Danio rerio: one gene and its partner. The protein of the gene in region 2 interacts with the protein of the main gene of each other region in a biochemical or structural test. Links are inferred from orthologs where the notes say so. Each region holds a gene or a part of one and is shown on either strand. Other genes may lie near its edges.

The links.
Region 1: the proteins of ipo8 (region 2) and eif4ea form a complex in vitro, tested with the Homo sapiens proteins (2 studies listed by BioGRID and IntAct, with this or other methods). The link is inferred for Danio rerio from reciprocal best matches to the Homo sapiens genes IPO8 and EIF4E.

Annotation. Positions count from the first base shown.
Region 1 is NC_133189.1:48,173,649-48,180,673, reverse strand, and holds part of eif4ea (eukaryotic translation initiation factor 4E-1A), read left to right. Parts: intron 1-2,091; coding exon 2,092-2,192; intron 2,193-2,289; coding exon 2,290-2,385; intron 2,386-3,234; coding exon 3,235-3,298; intron 3,299-3,383; coding exon 3,384-3,497; intron 3,498-4,354; coding exon 4,355-4,494; intron 4,495-6,498; coding exon 6,499-6,613; 3' UTR 6,614-6,628; intron 6,629-6,701; 3' UTR 6,702-7,025. UniProt on the Homo sapiens protein: Acts in the cytoplasm to initiate and regulate protein synthesis and is required in the nucleus for export of a subset of mRNAs from the nucleus to the cytoplasm which promotes processes such as RNA capping, processing and splicing.
Region 2 is NC_133179.1:9,921,141-9,928,681, forward strand, and holds the start of ipo8 (importin-8), read left to right. Parts: upstream 1-3,639; 5' UTR 3,640-3,696; coding exon 3,697-3,780; intron 3,781-5,441; coding exon 5,442-5,523; intron 5,524-5,658; coding exon 5,659-5,815; intron 5,816-5,899; coding exon 5,900-6,058; intron 6,059-7,100; coding exon 7,101-7,257; intron 7,258-7,414; coding exon 7,415-7,504; intron 7,505-7,541. UniProt on the Homo sapiens protein: Involved in nuclear protein import, either by acting as autonomous nuclear transport receptor or as an adapter-like protein in association with the importin-beta subunit KPNB1.

The DNA.
Region 1 (7,025 bases), on a different chromosome or scaffold from region 2:
TATTCATCTAGTAGCACCCATAAAGAAATTTACTTGTTATTTTTTTAAGTATTTATACCCATTTTATTTATTCACCCTCAAGATTTTGTTGAAATGCTGTTTTGAGGTTATTCAGAGTTTCTGAAACTAAAATGGTGCCATAAGTCTGTTTATTTAATTAGATTATTTTATATATTTTTGTAATTGAGGTAAAAAAGTTTTTTATATTAGCATATTTGGATTTTCTTAATATAATTTCAGAAAAGTATTATTTGCCAATTCTAAATGGGGACTTTATATTAGTAGTCAAGGACTGTATTAAATGAACGAATGTGCGGATATAAATCCAACTTTACCTCAGTATTTTGTAGCGTATACAGTGTGATCTAGGCAGGTGACGATCACCGTTTTCAAGGTATACCACGGTTTGGAAAAGTCAAGGTTTTAAAACTGTCAAAATTTTCTGTAATACCGCACCGTGTAAGATTTTTTATTTACTTTTTGTTTGTTTTTGAAGACAACAGTTTCTCAAGCTGGAAAGATATCCAAAGATTCATGTCTATGATTCATTTTCATTATATATCTTGACATGTTTACTGCTCCAGATTTGTAAAAAATCTTTCAAAAAATAAAATATATTGTTTTCAAAAAGGAAAAAAAAATTAAAGCAGTAATCGAAATACCGTGATACCTGGAAACCATGATATTTTTATCCAAGGTTATTACACCGTCAGAATCATATACCGGCCAATGCCTTGTCTGGTAATGTAGTGTGTATTAGGCAGAGCTAATGGAAAAGTATTAGTAAGTAATAGTGCTCACTTTAAGCCTGATAATACATTCCAGGGAGTTTGACCTGGCTTAGTTTTTAGTACTAGGACAAAACTTTGCTAGTGCTTCAATATGAAAATGCTAGTTATTTATGTTTAATGTTATTTACATTAGTGCCAAAAAGCTTTTGAAAAAATTTAAGTCCTTTTTTTATTTCTTCGACTCATTTAGGACTAGATTTTGTTAATAAATTCTAATATTTATGCATATACCATTATAACATGTTTCATCTGAAAGAGAATGCTTTTGAAAGTGGAAAGCCAGAGTAATTTTCTTATTATTTTCATTATTTGTATTTTTTGTTCATTTTTTTTTTTTTTTTTGTTAGGGCCATTGCTCACTCGTGGGGGCTTTTGTCACCCGTTTAGAAAGTCATTAACAATACAAAAAAAAAAAAAAAAAAAATCTGATTGCTCTCTTAATAGCGTTTTCTCATTTTAAAACAAAAAACTGCATAGACCAGTGGTTCTCAAACTGTGGTACGCGGGCTGCCTTCTAGTGGTACGCAGAGTAATCCGATATGCCATATCTACATGCAACAGATATTTAAATATTTATAAAAAATGACTCGTATATGAATATGATGACATATAGCCTATATTTATGAGGTCCAAGCAGCATTTCCAGGCTTTTATACTACAGGTGAACACTTTACATTTAAGTACAGGTGTTTTTTCTTTACTTTTTAAGAACAGTAGCCTACCATTTTTAATTAACTTTTAAAATTACATTTTAATTTAAACATTGAAATTTTATTTATTTGTTTTTTTACACATAAGCACAGCAGTGTTAATGTTCAAACTTTTTTTTTTTAAACTGCAGAACTGTAGCTGCTTAATTAGGCCTACTACGCTACTGTATTTCAATACTGGTTAAATGGTGGTACTTGGAGGGACAATTTTTTCTGAGGTGGTACTTGATGAAAAAAGTTTGAGAACCACTGGCATAGACTATATAAGTAATAAATAAAAACATGTTAATTAATTAGCTAACTGAGTCTTCTAATTTATTTCCATTCACATTTCATTATAGTATTTATTTCCACTCATGGCAGGCATGAAAATAGTAAAAAATATTGGTAAAAATATTGAATGTGAAACAGTTTGTCAGTAATTCAACAAATGAAAAAAAATGTTATGGGGACTTAAAATATTGCTTTTTACAATAGTTTTTAAAATGGCAAAATATGGATTATTTTCCCATAAAAGTCTCTCATTCAGTATGCAGAGCTTTAGATGCATATTTTGTTAATATAACAGTTGTTGTTTTCTATTTCTGTAGGAAACTTCAACAAATCCATCAAATTCAGAAGAAAAAAATGAGGAAAATGAGCAACAGATCGTGAGTCTTGAAGATTACATTAAACATCCACTGCAGAACAGGTAATGCCACCCAGGCCACATGTTTTATGTATTTTGATGTGATACGATGGCAAAATATCTAGAGGAGTTATCGTGCCCCCCCCTTTTTTTTCCTCAGATGGGCTCTTTGGTTCTTTAAAAATGACAAAAGCAAAACATGGCAAGCTAATCTCCGTCTCATCTCAAAGTTTGACACCGTGGAGGACTTCTGGGCGTAAGTATTAACTTGACACAATTGAAGCAACTCAAATAACATGATTGATAATATTAAAACATATGATAAAAAAGACCATCTGTTGCGTTTTATGTTTTCTTTTTTAAGTCTGTTATAAGTTTATAAATGTATATGTTATTAAAGCTCATAGCCTACCACAACAAATATTGTATATTGTAAGTATTTAACAGAAATTAGACTCCAATCTACCATAAATGGATAGTTTACCCAAAAATTTTAATTTACTCACTATTTACATCCCCTCAAGAGTGAATTGTACCTTTAAAATGAATCCTGGTGATAATGGTGAAGTATTTCTGACTGGCCAATAGAAAACTCTGGAAGCAAAGGCTTTATAAACAAAAACATTTTAGACAGAGAATGCCTGAGAATATGACCCTGCAATAATGTACAATATGGGAACAATATTGTTTTTTTCCATTGTTAAAAGCTGTTATCCTATTTTAGTACAACCAATGCACAAAACAGTGACTTAAAAATCATAATAAAAATACATTTATGTCTGTGTGAGTCCCTGGACAACAAAATCAGTCTTCTGTTGTAAGGGTATAGTTTTTTGGAATGGCCAAAAATTACACTACGAGTCATTTCTATGGCAAAAATCAGGAGAATTTTGTATAAAGATTTGTAAATGTATGTCTGTAAATCTATTCAAACTTAATTTTTGCTTAGTAATATGCATTTCCGTCTCGATAATCAAATTTGAGCAACTTTAATGTGGATTTTCTCTCTATTTTTATTTTATTTTTTTTAACCCTAAGACTTCAGATTTGTAAATTGTTGTATCTTACAACAAGCCATTAACAAGTATTGCTGTTATATTTTCAGGTTATACAATCACATTCAGTTATCAAGTAACTTAATGTCAGGATGTGATTACTCCCTTTTCAAGGTAAGACATGATAAAGCAGAATAACTGTATGATAGTTTTGTTGAATCCATGAAAATGAGTCTGTGCTCTTGTGTTTTTGTGATAGGATGGCATTGAGCCCATGTGGGAAGATGAGAGAAACAAGCGGGGTGGCCGCTGGCTGATCACCCTCTCCAAACAGCAGCGCAGAGCTGACCTGGACCGCTTCTGGCTGGAAACAGTAAGTCCAAATTCTCCCTAGTCCATATTAGCTGCTGATTTCACTGTGCTAAAATCACCAATAGTTACTGAAAAAGTTTTATTATGAATTTTAAATATCTTTTCGTATTTTGTTATGTCGTTGACTGTAATATGAGTGAACCTTACACATTTTATATTTTCAACCAATAAAAACAGGATATGAGGCATAGGCTAATCGTGAATATATACAGTAGTCAGCATTTGAAGTGGATCCAAAATCCTGTTGTTGTATGATTATTAGTGGTGAGCAAAAATGAATCTCATCCAAAATAAAAGTTTGTTTTGATTTAGGTGTGTACTGTGTACGTTTATTATGTACATATAAATACACACAGGCATGCATATATTTGAGAAAATGTGTATTTATATTTCCATATAAAATGTGTATATGATACTAATTGTGTATAAATTTAAATATCCATGTAATAAAAATGTTTTGTAGAGCTTTGTTTCTATCAAATATACATAATAAATATATAAAATTCACACATATGACATGTTAAAACAAACGTGTATTTTTGATGCGATTAATCACAATAAATGTTCCTACATCGCTTATAATTATTAAATAATAATAAATTAGATTTTTTTGATAAAATTAAATTTTTTTGTTTTATTACCAAATATTGATATTCTATTTCAATGTAAAAGATTTGATCCACTTTAAATATTGACTAAAATAGCTTAACAATCACTAATCACTTGATTAAAACAACGTTATTCTCAGTATACCTAATTTCCTTTTTATGAGCTCAAATATTCAAATGTAATATTAGAACATATACGTGTGTGTTTATATATAGACTAAAGAATGTTCTTTCTCATTTATTATTTTAGCTTTTGTGCCTTGTTGGAGAAGCGTTTGATGACCACAGTGATGATGTCTGTGGTGCTGTCGTTAACATCCGAACAAAGGGAGACAAAATCGCAATATGGACGACAGACTACGAGAACAAAGATGCCATCGTACACATAGGGTAAACATTACACTTTTATACTGTACATGAAACTGAAATGATTTTTTTAATGCTAAAATTAAATGTTATTATTTGTACATACTGTTGTGAAATTTTTCCAATCATATGAAATATTATAGATATTCTAAATAATGCATTTAACATCAAGACACCTTACATGAAAATAAATGAAAAACACTTTGCAAATTCTAATTTGTTAGACCAGGCATGAACAAACTGTCAATACTACATGTCAAATTGGACATTCTAAGTTGACTCATTTGTATTTACTCTTACCATGAAACATATTTTGTTGGAATGTGAAAGTTTAAATACCATTAGACAACATTTTTATAAGGAAAGTACTGTGATAGATATTTTCCAAAAAGGTAACACCAAGCAGAGTGTTAAATTATTTATCAAAAATTGAACTGAAAAATCATATTTAACTTTGAATATATTTTTGTGTGAATTTTATTTATTTATATTCTAAATATTTGTCTGAGTCACTTTTGTTGTAATATGAATTAGTTTTTATCATGTAATATTTTCTATCTATATCCATTTTGCCATGAATTAACCATACGTTGCTGATGTGGGAATAAATAAATAACATCAAGCCACCAATCCAAACATTTAGGTTGTTGCTGATTTAAAAAGGTTAAATTGTAAGGATTTGTGGAGTGAGAGGAAACGAAATGCAGTTAGAATTTTTTGCAAACTGAATTGCGACAGATTTTGTGACTTAGCTGCATATTTTTTCAGGTTTTCAGGTTCATTTTCTTTTTGGCTTAGTCCCTTTATTAATTCGGGTCGCCACAGCGGAATGAACCGCCTACTTATCCAGCAAGCTTTTACGCAGCGCATGCCCTTCCAGTCGAAACCCATCTCTGGGGAAAAAAAAGCTACTACTTGTCAACTATTTTTGGTTATTAGTCATGCAGATTATGCCTTGACTTTGTCTATAAGGCTACGTTCACACTGAGCCAAATGTGGCTCGAATTAGATTTTTTCCCCCTCATGTTACTCAGGTAATGACAGTGTGAACAACCCAAACGCATGGAATCTGATCTTTTCAGGTCAGATCTGTGCCACTTTCATATGTAGTCTTAAATTAGACACAGATCTGATGTTTTGCAATGCGACTGCAGTGTGAACGGTTATGTCGGATTTCTTGTGACTTTTACATAATCTTCGAGCAACATGCGTCATTATTCTGTGCTGCAAACATCCTGTACTCCTCAGCAGCATCGTAGAACGGCACACAGGGCGTTTACTGCACCACAGAAAGCTTGTTGTTTTTTTGAAAAAGATTTTGGAGGCAAAACTGGTGTTTGTTAACGATTGAGGCGCGGGTTGATCGTGAAGCTGAAGAGCATCGTGGGTGTTGCAAATAGGGACTCTGTGTGCAAAGGAGGATGAACTTTCTCTCCGAGAGAAAAAAGGGCAGGTGCTCGAGCATCCAAACCCCCCTTCTGCACGTGTCTACTGTTTATAATGAAGTAAAATTAAATAACTGCAAATGGAGATAAAACAACTCCGCCTTTACAGTTTAGTCTTACTCTGTTCATTAACCCTTGATGAGTTCACTGCACCGGTGGTCATACAAACGTGCACCGCTGTTGTCATAAATCACAAACGATCAGTGATTTCAATCACAAGTGACTTGTTTTAGATTTCAAATGGCAGAATACACATTAGTAGTAGCAGAACAATCATTTACGGTTCATGAAACACACCATGGTTGTCTGTGAAAAGGGCAATAATCATATAAGCATGGTCTGACAACGTGCTTACTTCATACAGTATCACAAGTGCATAATTAGACATTTTGTGCTGTCTGTAATGTACTTTTGCGCAAGCGGGTCACTTTAGGATCTGTTCACCCTGCAAATCTGAAATTGGCCACATTTATAAGAGCATCGTCAACAGCCATACACAAAAAAAAAAATCTGATTTGAGCACTAAACCTAGCAGTGTGAACGTAGCCTAAGTGTCTACATTTTGTCTTTTCCTCCTTAACAGGCGTGTGTACAAAGAAAGATTAGGTGTGCCACCAAAGGTCATCATTGGATACCAGTCACATGCGGACACGGCCACCAAAAGTGGTTCCACCACCAAGAACAAGTTTGTTGTTTAAGGAGCCTTTTAAACAGTAGGTATTTTTATCATTCCTTTAACATTTTCATATCTTTACATCGATTACTCATGCCGTGATTTAATTTCAGATGCTGCATCAACAGTCTGAATCTATATCAAATCCAGATCTTCATCAACAGTGACATATAAACAGACAAGCAGGATCTGACCTTTCCACAGGATTCTGTGAGGGAAACACTAGGAAATTAAAGGCCTTGAGATTTGAAGATTATTCAGAGGAATATCGTATTTACAAAACTGTACAGTGTATAAAAAACAAAGCCACGTTCTTTTTTTAATTGTCAACGTACTATTAACAAATCGTTTTTGCTAGTGGGGATTGGGGGAGTGCGTTCGATTCAATTTATGAATGTTTTTCTTTCATATTCCGTTTGACTTTTTTATGTTGTGTT
Region 2 (7,541 bases):
TTTTAAAATATGGCAAAGTGTCACAGAGGGAAAGCTTTCATAGTTAGGTTAAGATTTAAAGTTTTAGATTTGCATGTACGTTCATTTATCAATCTCTATATTGTTTACCACGCTACTTTGAGTATTCAGTCTGAACTAGCATGTGAGTATGACCTCAAAACAACACGTTGATAGTCTTTGGCTGCTAATATGATTCTCATATTTAGAATTAGCAAAGAATACTTTTCTGGATCTATAATATTAAGGAGAATGTCTGAATATCCAAATATAAAACCAACTTCACCTCTATCAAAGTGCCTTGTTGCTAAAAAACATCCTTAAATAGTTTTTTATGATGAAATAAGACACAAAGCTTTATTCTTCAGGAACTGCCTGGATGTGCATTATTACTTAAATAAGCAAGGGTTTGCACTTCCCCCATACAAAAGATGATTTAAATCAAGGCATGTAACTTTTTAAAATGTGTTTAAAGTTTAGAATTGTTATTTTGCATCTGCTTTGTGCACCTTGTGTTCGCAGCATATCTCTGTTTGTCAAATAACAAAGTTAATCTCACAGACAAATACTATGCATTACCTGTCACTCAACAGATGTCCACCATTACAGTCAATGTCGGACCACGTGCTTCTGCTGGACTAAACACACCCTTTCACTCTGTAAAGGAAAGACACAAGTAAATAAAAAAGCACTCCATATCAAAGTTCATTTTACACTTTCATGTGACATGCTCAAAAAACACTATTTTAGGTTTGATAAAACACAACAGTTTATTTGTTCTACCTAATAAGCTTCAGAAGAATCTCCATCCTAAATTCACATGGAGTTTCATCAAGAGAGCAACATCCCTGCTGCCACCAGCATAGGCTGGTTGGCTGGTTTTAGAGGGGTTTTGGCCATTTCCAGGCTGATTTCCAGCCATTTTCAGGCTGGTCTTAGCTGGTCAGGCAGCTAAAACCAGCTTGACCAGCTTAAACCAGGCTGGTCACCCTGATTTTAGCAGGTCATTTTTCTGCCTGACCAGCTAAGACGAGTGTGGAAATGGCCATAACCCCTCTAAAACCTGATTTAAGCTGTTTTTTTTTCAGCAGGGATGTAAACAAAGTCTTTGTTAAACCTTCGTTAAGGTAAGACTACCTTTATACACAATAATTTTCACAAAAAATATCTATTTATCCAGGGTTAAAGTTATATTTGAATGACTGACAAGGAAAGAGTAGCATCACCCATACTTCAGCAAACAAATGAAAACACCTATTCGACATGCCAATGATTTAAATACAGTTTAAAACTGATATATATAACATAATATATAATATAATGGATATATAATGAGCGCCAACGACTTTAAAAATCACTAATTATGTGTAGATACTTACAGGTGAGTCGCGTGACATTCTTCATGCTTGACAGCACAGCGCGTCGTTTGTTATTAACGTTATTGATGGGCTGAAATATATGCTGTCGAGTGACAGAGTCTGTAACTGAGCTGTCATCTGCAGCAACTGTACTTTAATAGCTTTTAAACGTATATACATAGTTGTGTCGAGGCGGCTGTCATCAGTGTCATGTTGTTGATATTGATTAGGCTCTAAAGGTGTCACTGTCACGCTGAACGTCAACGCCGCTGACGCCCCCTGGTGGAGTGGAAGGGAGTCAGTGTCAGTATGAAAACAACACACTAGTAGTGTGTCGATGGAGACAGGATACATTTTTAGTTTTATATATTTTAAATTACGTCTGTGATCTTCTTTAAATGGTCTCGAGCAGCAGATAAGCATGGAATCTAATGGACGATCAGCTTCCCAACTTAAGGGGTAAGAAAAAATATGTCCAATGTGTTGAACTGTAACATTAGTATACATAAATCACATGGTCGAAATGTAAACACTGATTGAAGAGACAAGAGGTCTTGCAGTACTATTTTACTATTTGTTTATGCTTTAAATACATATTTTGACTCAAAATTATCTTTATTATTTCAGTTCAAAATCAATCATTTAATTCATGTTGTTATGATATTTGCAGGCTCGTAAAGCCTATTTGAAAAACGACTAGTTTTCCAGCTCCTCCTTGTGGACATGAACTATGAGGGAGAAGACTACTGACTTAGATTGCATTGGGGAAATGGTGCATTACTGATGATTTTTCTGTTTCCATCAAGTTTATCTGTCAGTGCCTTAAGTTTCTCTTAAGAAGGAGAGAATTTAAATTATTAAAATGTTCATTTATTTATTTATTTATTTATTTTTATTTATTTATTTATTTATTTATTTATTTATATTATTTTTTAATTTATTTGTTGAATATTTATTTATTAGTTTATTTATTTATTATTATTTACTTATTTTATTTATTATTTATTAATTAATTAATTTATGTATTTATTTATTTATATTTATTTATTTATTTATTTTTATTATTTTTTAAATTATTTGTTGAATATTTATTTTATTTATTATTTATTAATTAATTAATTTATTTATTTATTCATTGTTTGTTTATTATTATTTATTTTATTTATTATTTATTAATTAATTTATTTATTTATTTATTCATTCATTCATTATTATTTTGTTATTATTTATTTATTAGTTTATTTATTTATTTATTTATTATTATTTATTTTATTTATTATTTATTATTATTTAATGTATTTATTCATTTATTTATTTATTATTATATATTTATTTTATTTTTATTTTTTTATCTGTCAGTGCCTTACGTTTGCAGTTCAAAACAATAACCTGAAGGGTGACACCATGGCTGAAATATTACTTTTAGACAGGTATGTTTTAAAACTATTTTAGCCATGCAAAGCTGATGTAGACTGTGTTCTTGTTTATGAATGGGGGTATATGCATGGAAGTGTTGTTCAGCCACTAAAAAGTCCAATTGGCAATGGAATACCTTTTACAGCATTAATAATATAGTCGGTTAAATAGACCTGAGCATTCGTTTAGATGTTCAAGTGTAAAAAGACATGAAAACAATTGATGTACGAGGATCAGCCAGCACAATTGAAAATGAAAAGTCACTTGTGGGCTTGTTAACATAAGTGTAATGTAAAAAGATAACGGGTTATTTCAGTTTTTGGCACTGCTTTTTCACTAATCTAATTTTTATTTAGTTTAATAACAAAACATAAGTAAATGTGCTTTTCCACTAACCAGCTTTACTGAGGTGAAGTTTGATTTTTATTCACGCATTTGTTCATTTTTTAACAGTAACCGTGACAGTTTTGGGGAAATATAATCCTGCACCCGCTGAAAATAAAAGTCTTTGTGCATATACCCTATAATATAGAAGTGTATGAAATAAAATGATTTAAGTAAATTTCTTACATTCTACTTTTTTCTAAAAGTAATATTTCAATTGATTGTACCATACTTCTTTCAGTTTTGTATTTGTTGTAATGTACTGTTATTATTGCAATAAAAATAAATAAATAAATTAGCTAAGGACAGTTCTTTATATTGATATATTTAAGAACTATATTGTGTATGAGGTCCCTTTAATTTTTTGTCACGCCAGCCTCTGCTGCAAACGCTCCGCTTTGGCTTTGTTCTTTTGCGACGCTGACAGTCGCTTGACGGCAGACTGGGGCAGGGCTCCCTGTAAGATCTGAGGCATCAGATCGTCCGCGCATCTGTCCGATAGTCCAAAGTTTATTGAAATTCATCCACCTCTTCGGCCCTCATGGATCCCAATCGAATCATACAGGCTCTGAAGGGCACCATAGACCCCAATCTCAGGCTCGCGGCTGAGAATGAACTCAACCAGGTCAGTTTTCCGTCTGGAGAAGTTTGTTGTTTCTTTGGGGAACAGAAGCGCTAAAAGATGCCTTCAGTGTTTGTGGCCTGATTTTTAATTTATAAAGCTGAATAATAGTCTGCTTTCGTCCCTATTAACGCTTTGTTTACTGTTAAGGGTGCCCACTAGTTGCAGTGAATCAACGGCATCATTGTTCAACAGCAGAATGAGATGCCGACTATTGATCCTTGTGGACTAAATTATGAATATAGTCGCTTTACATGAATAAAATGACTTAATTTAGGTTATATCCAAAATTTAAGTGTCTCAGTCTTCATTTATAGTTTTCCTGTTAGTCAATTTGGGGATGTGATGTTATAATGTGACATGGTTGTTCATTGTGTCCTGATTCTCCTGCATGTAAATCATTATTTCTGCAGCTTCCACTGATGCAATTCTGTGCAATTCCTACTCTGCAGAGGCATTGTTGAAGGCAGTTCTGTTTTAGAAGAGCTTGTGTGTTAGAGAGTGGATGTGCTTGTTGTTTACATCAGGGGAGCCCAAAGTTTTTCATATGAAGGGCCAAAAACCAAATATCATTGACATATGCCGGAATAGTTGGTAGTTCATTCTGCTGATGAATAAGGGACTAAGCCAAAGGAAAATGAATGAAATCAATGCTGAAACAATTATTTTTTTTCACAGAATTGTGATGAATATTGATATTAAATCTCATTTGCCAGATTATAACCTGAAATTTTTTGGGTTAGTCAAAGTTGTGTAAAAAATTCACAAAAATGTTACCTCAAAATGTAGTTTTCATTGTCAGATTTGATCTCAGTGCTGACATTCTTGAAGTGACAATTTTTCAAGTTCATCACTGGGAAAGTTGAGATGAGATCATTTTTTAATTCGATTACGTAAATACATACATACAAAAATTACAAATGAGGGAAAAAAAGTTTGAATTGTGAGATCAATGGTGCAATAAAATTTTTGAATTATATATTTATTTATTTTGCTTTTTTTAAATAATAACAATACAGAACATCGAAACTAAGCAGCAAACAACTGAAATAAAGCACACACGCACACGGCATGTAAAAATGAATAGATAAAATAAAAATAAATAAATAAAAAGGGAGGAGATACAGGATTAATTAATGAAGATAAACTTTTAGTTTTTTAGTCAAATCAAATCATGTGGTACTGTTTTAAAATAATAAAAAAATGGATTCCAAATTTTTTTAATAGTTCATCTTTTCCTCTGAAAGAATATGTGATTTTCTCCAATGGTATACAGTTGCAAACTTCTAAGATCCACAGTCTATTTGACATCAGTGTCTGTTTTCCGCAATTGCATTTTTATTTTGGCAGAAATTAACTTTATTAGTTCATTGCATTACATTTCTGACATCTAATAAGTTCTTAGTCATACTTATTATAAAGAAAAAATAATATCCTGTGCTTTCTTTGTGCTATTTTGGCTTATCTGAATTGAATGATTGGCTTTTGGTGAATTGAACCATCATAGATCAACAATATTTTAATAATTTTGGTGCCACGTTGCATTGGTATTTGAGAAAACATGTATATAAAGAGAAATCCCTGAGCTTTGTAGATTGATTTTGCTTATAAAAATAAAAACTATTATTCTCTTGTAAAAAAAAAAATGTCTCTTTTTTTTTCAGTCCTACAAGATCATCAACTTCGCCCCAACTCTTCTACAGATCATAGTGTCGGAGCAGGTGGAGTTTCCCGTGCGACAGGCAGGTAAGAACCTCTCTTTTCCTACAGCCAGTCACAATCCCCTTCCCAATTGAATCGTTCAGGGTCGAGATCTTCCCCTTTACCAATGGTCAATTTTGATTGGATGAAATAACCAATGACGTCACATTCATCCTCCAGCTGCCATCTACCTGAAGAACATGGTGAGTCAGTACTGGCAGGACCGGGAGCCTACACTGGGAGAGGTGGTGTTTCCCTTCAACATCCATGAAAATGACCGCGGACAGATCCGAGAAAACATGGTGGAGGCCATTATTCGTTGCCCTGAGTCCATAAGGCAAGTCACAATGTTTTCATTTCATAATGACAGTCGTTAGAACCTAAAAATTAACTCTCTTTTTTTGTTGTTGTTGTTTGGCAGGGCTCAGTTAACAGTATGCTTGCGGGCCATAATAAAGCATGATTTTCCTGGCCGGTGGACGGGTGTAGTGGACAAGATTAACCTGTATCTGCAGTCGCAGAACAGTGGCAGCTGGTACGGCAGTCTGCTCGCACTTTACCAGCTCGTCAAAAACTATGAGTGAGTGAAACACGACACTTTTGACTCTCTTGAGGATTTGTTGTTGTAAAAGTTCCCGTGATTGTTATGAAGGTGTCCTAAAATACATTTGCATCCATCCAAGGTTAAAAACACATAAGCTGCGTCCCAAATGGCACACTATGCACTCATGCACTATGTACTTATGCACTTACACACTCAACAGGATAGTATATGTATGTAGTATCGTCCCAAATGGCACACTAATGTTTTTTTACTAAGCGGAAATTCAAACCGTCTCCCTAATGATGTTTGACGGTTGCCTTTTCAGTGAAATAAACAACCGAATTATCAAATAATACCTGCCGTGAGTATAACCGCATTCTCCATCGGGAGGCGCTATGATCCCTCTCGTAGGAGAATTTTGCTTTTACTATCCAAAATAAATAAAGGTATCCAACATATGCGCCCGATAGCTCCGCCCCTTCCGCTACGTGAGCAAAACTGCGGTCGTTGAGTGCGTGAAGTGTCCATCATTGCACACTTCATTTTAGCGGCTAAATGAGTGCATCATCCAGGTAATTAAAGTGCACTTAACTATTTATAGAGTTTTTAGTGTAAACACACTATTTATACTACAAAATGGCGTAGAACAGTGCATAAGCATGCGATTTGGGACGCAGCTATACATTTAAAAAAATGTATGTATATAGTCATGTCTGAAATCATTCGTACGCCAGGGGAATAAAAGACTCTTTTAAAAGATTCTTCTCATTATTGCAGGATATTAAATCTCAAAATATCAAGCTATGATCTTGTAAGTGAGAAGTTGAAAATGTTTTTGCACAAACTCAGAACTGCTAGATATATATTCTGAATTAGACCTGCTATGTTTGAAGTTTGATCCTTCTGTTTGTGTTTTATGGGTGTTTCCCAGAGATGGGTTGCAGCTGGAAGGGCATCTGCTGCGTAAAACATATGCTGGATAAGTTGGCGGTTCATTCTGCCGTGGCGACCCCTCATTAATAAAGGGACTAAGCCGAAAAGAAAATGAATGAATGTTTGTGTTTTGTGTGTTTGTCAGGTTTAAGAAGGCTGAGGAGCGGGACCCGCTGTTAGCAGCCATGCAGATCTTCCTGCCGCGGCTTCAGCAGCTCATCACTCAACTCCTGTCTGATGCCACATTCATCTCAGTCCTCATCCAGAAGCAGATCCTCAAGATTTTCCATGCACTTGTACAGGTACTTTTGGAATGCCCTATGTTTAATATTATCAGGTGACGATTTTCATCTGGAGAGACTTTACAGGAAATATTGTTAAATGTGAATCCTTTGAAAAAGCTAGAATTATTATTTTTTTTATGAATTGAATTTAGAATTGTGTGTTTGTGTTTTGCAGTATTCGTTCCCCCTACAGCTGATTAACAACACAGTCATGACGCACTGGATGGAGATCCTACGGACAGTTGTGGATCGGGACGTCCCGGCTGTAAGTCTGTGGAATGTTATTTCTCATTGTTGAGCTC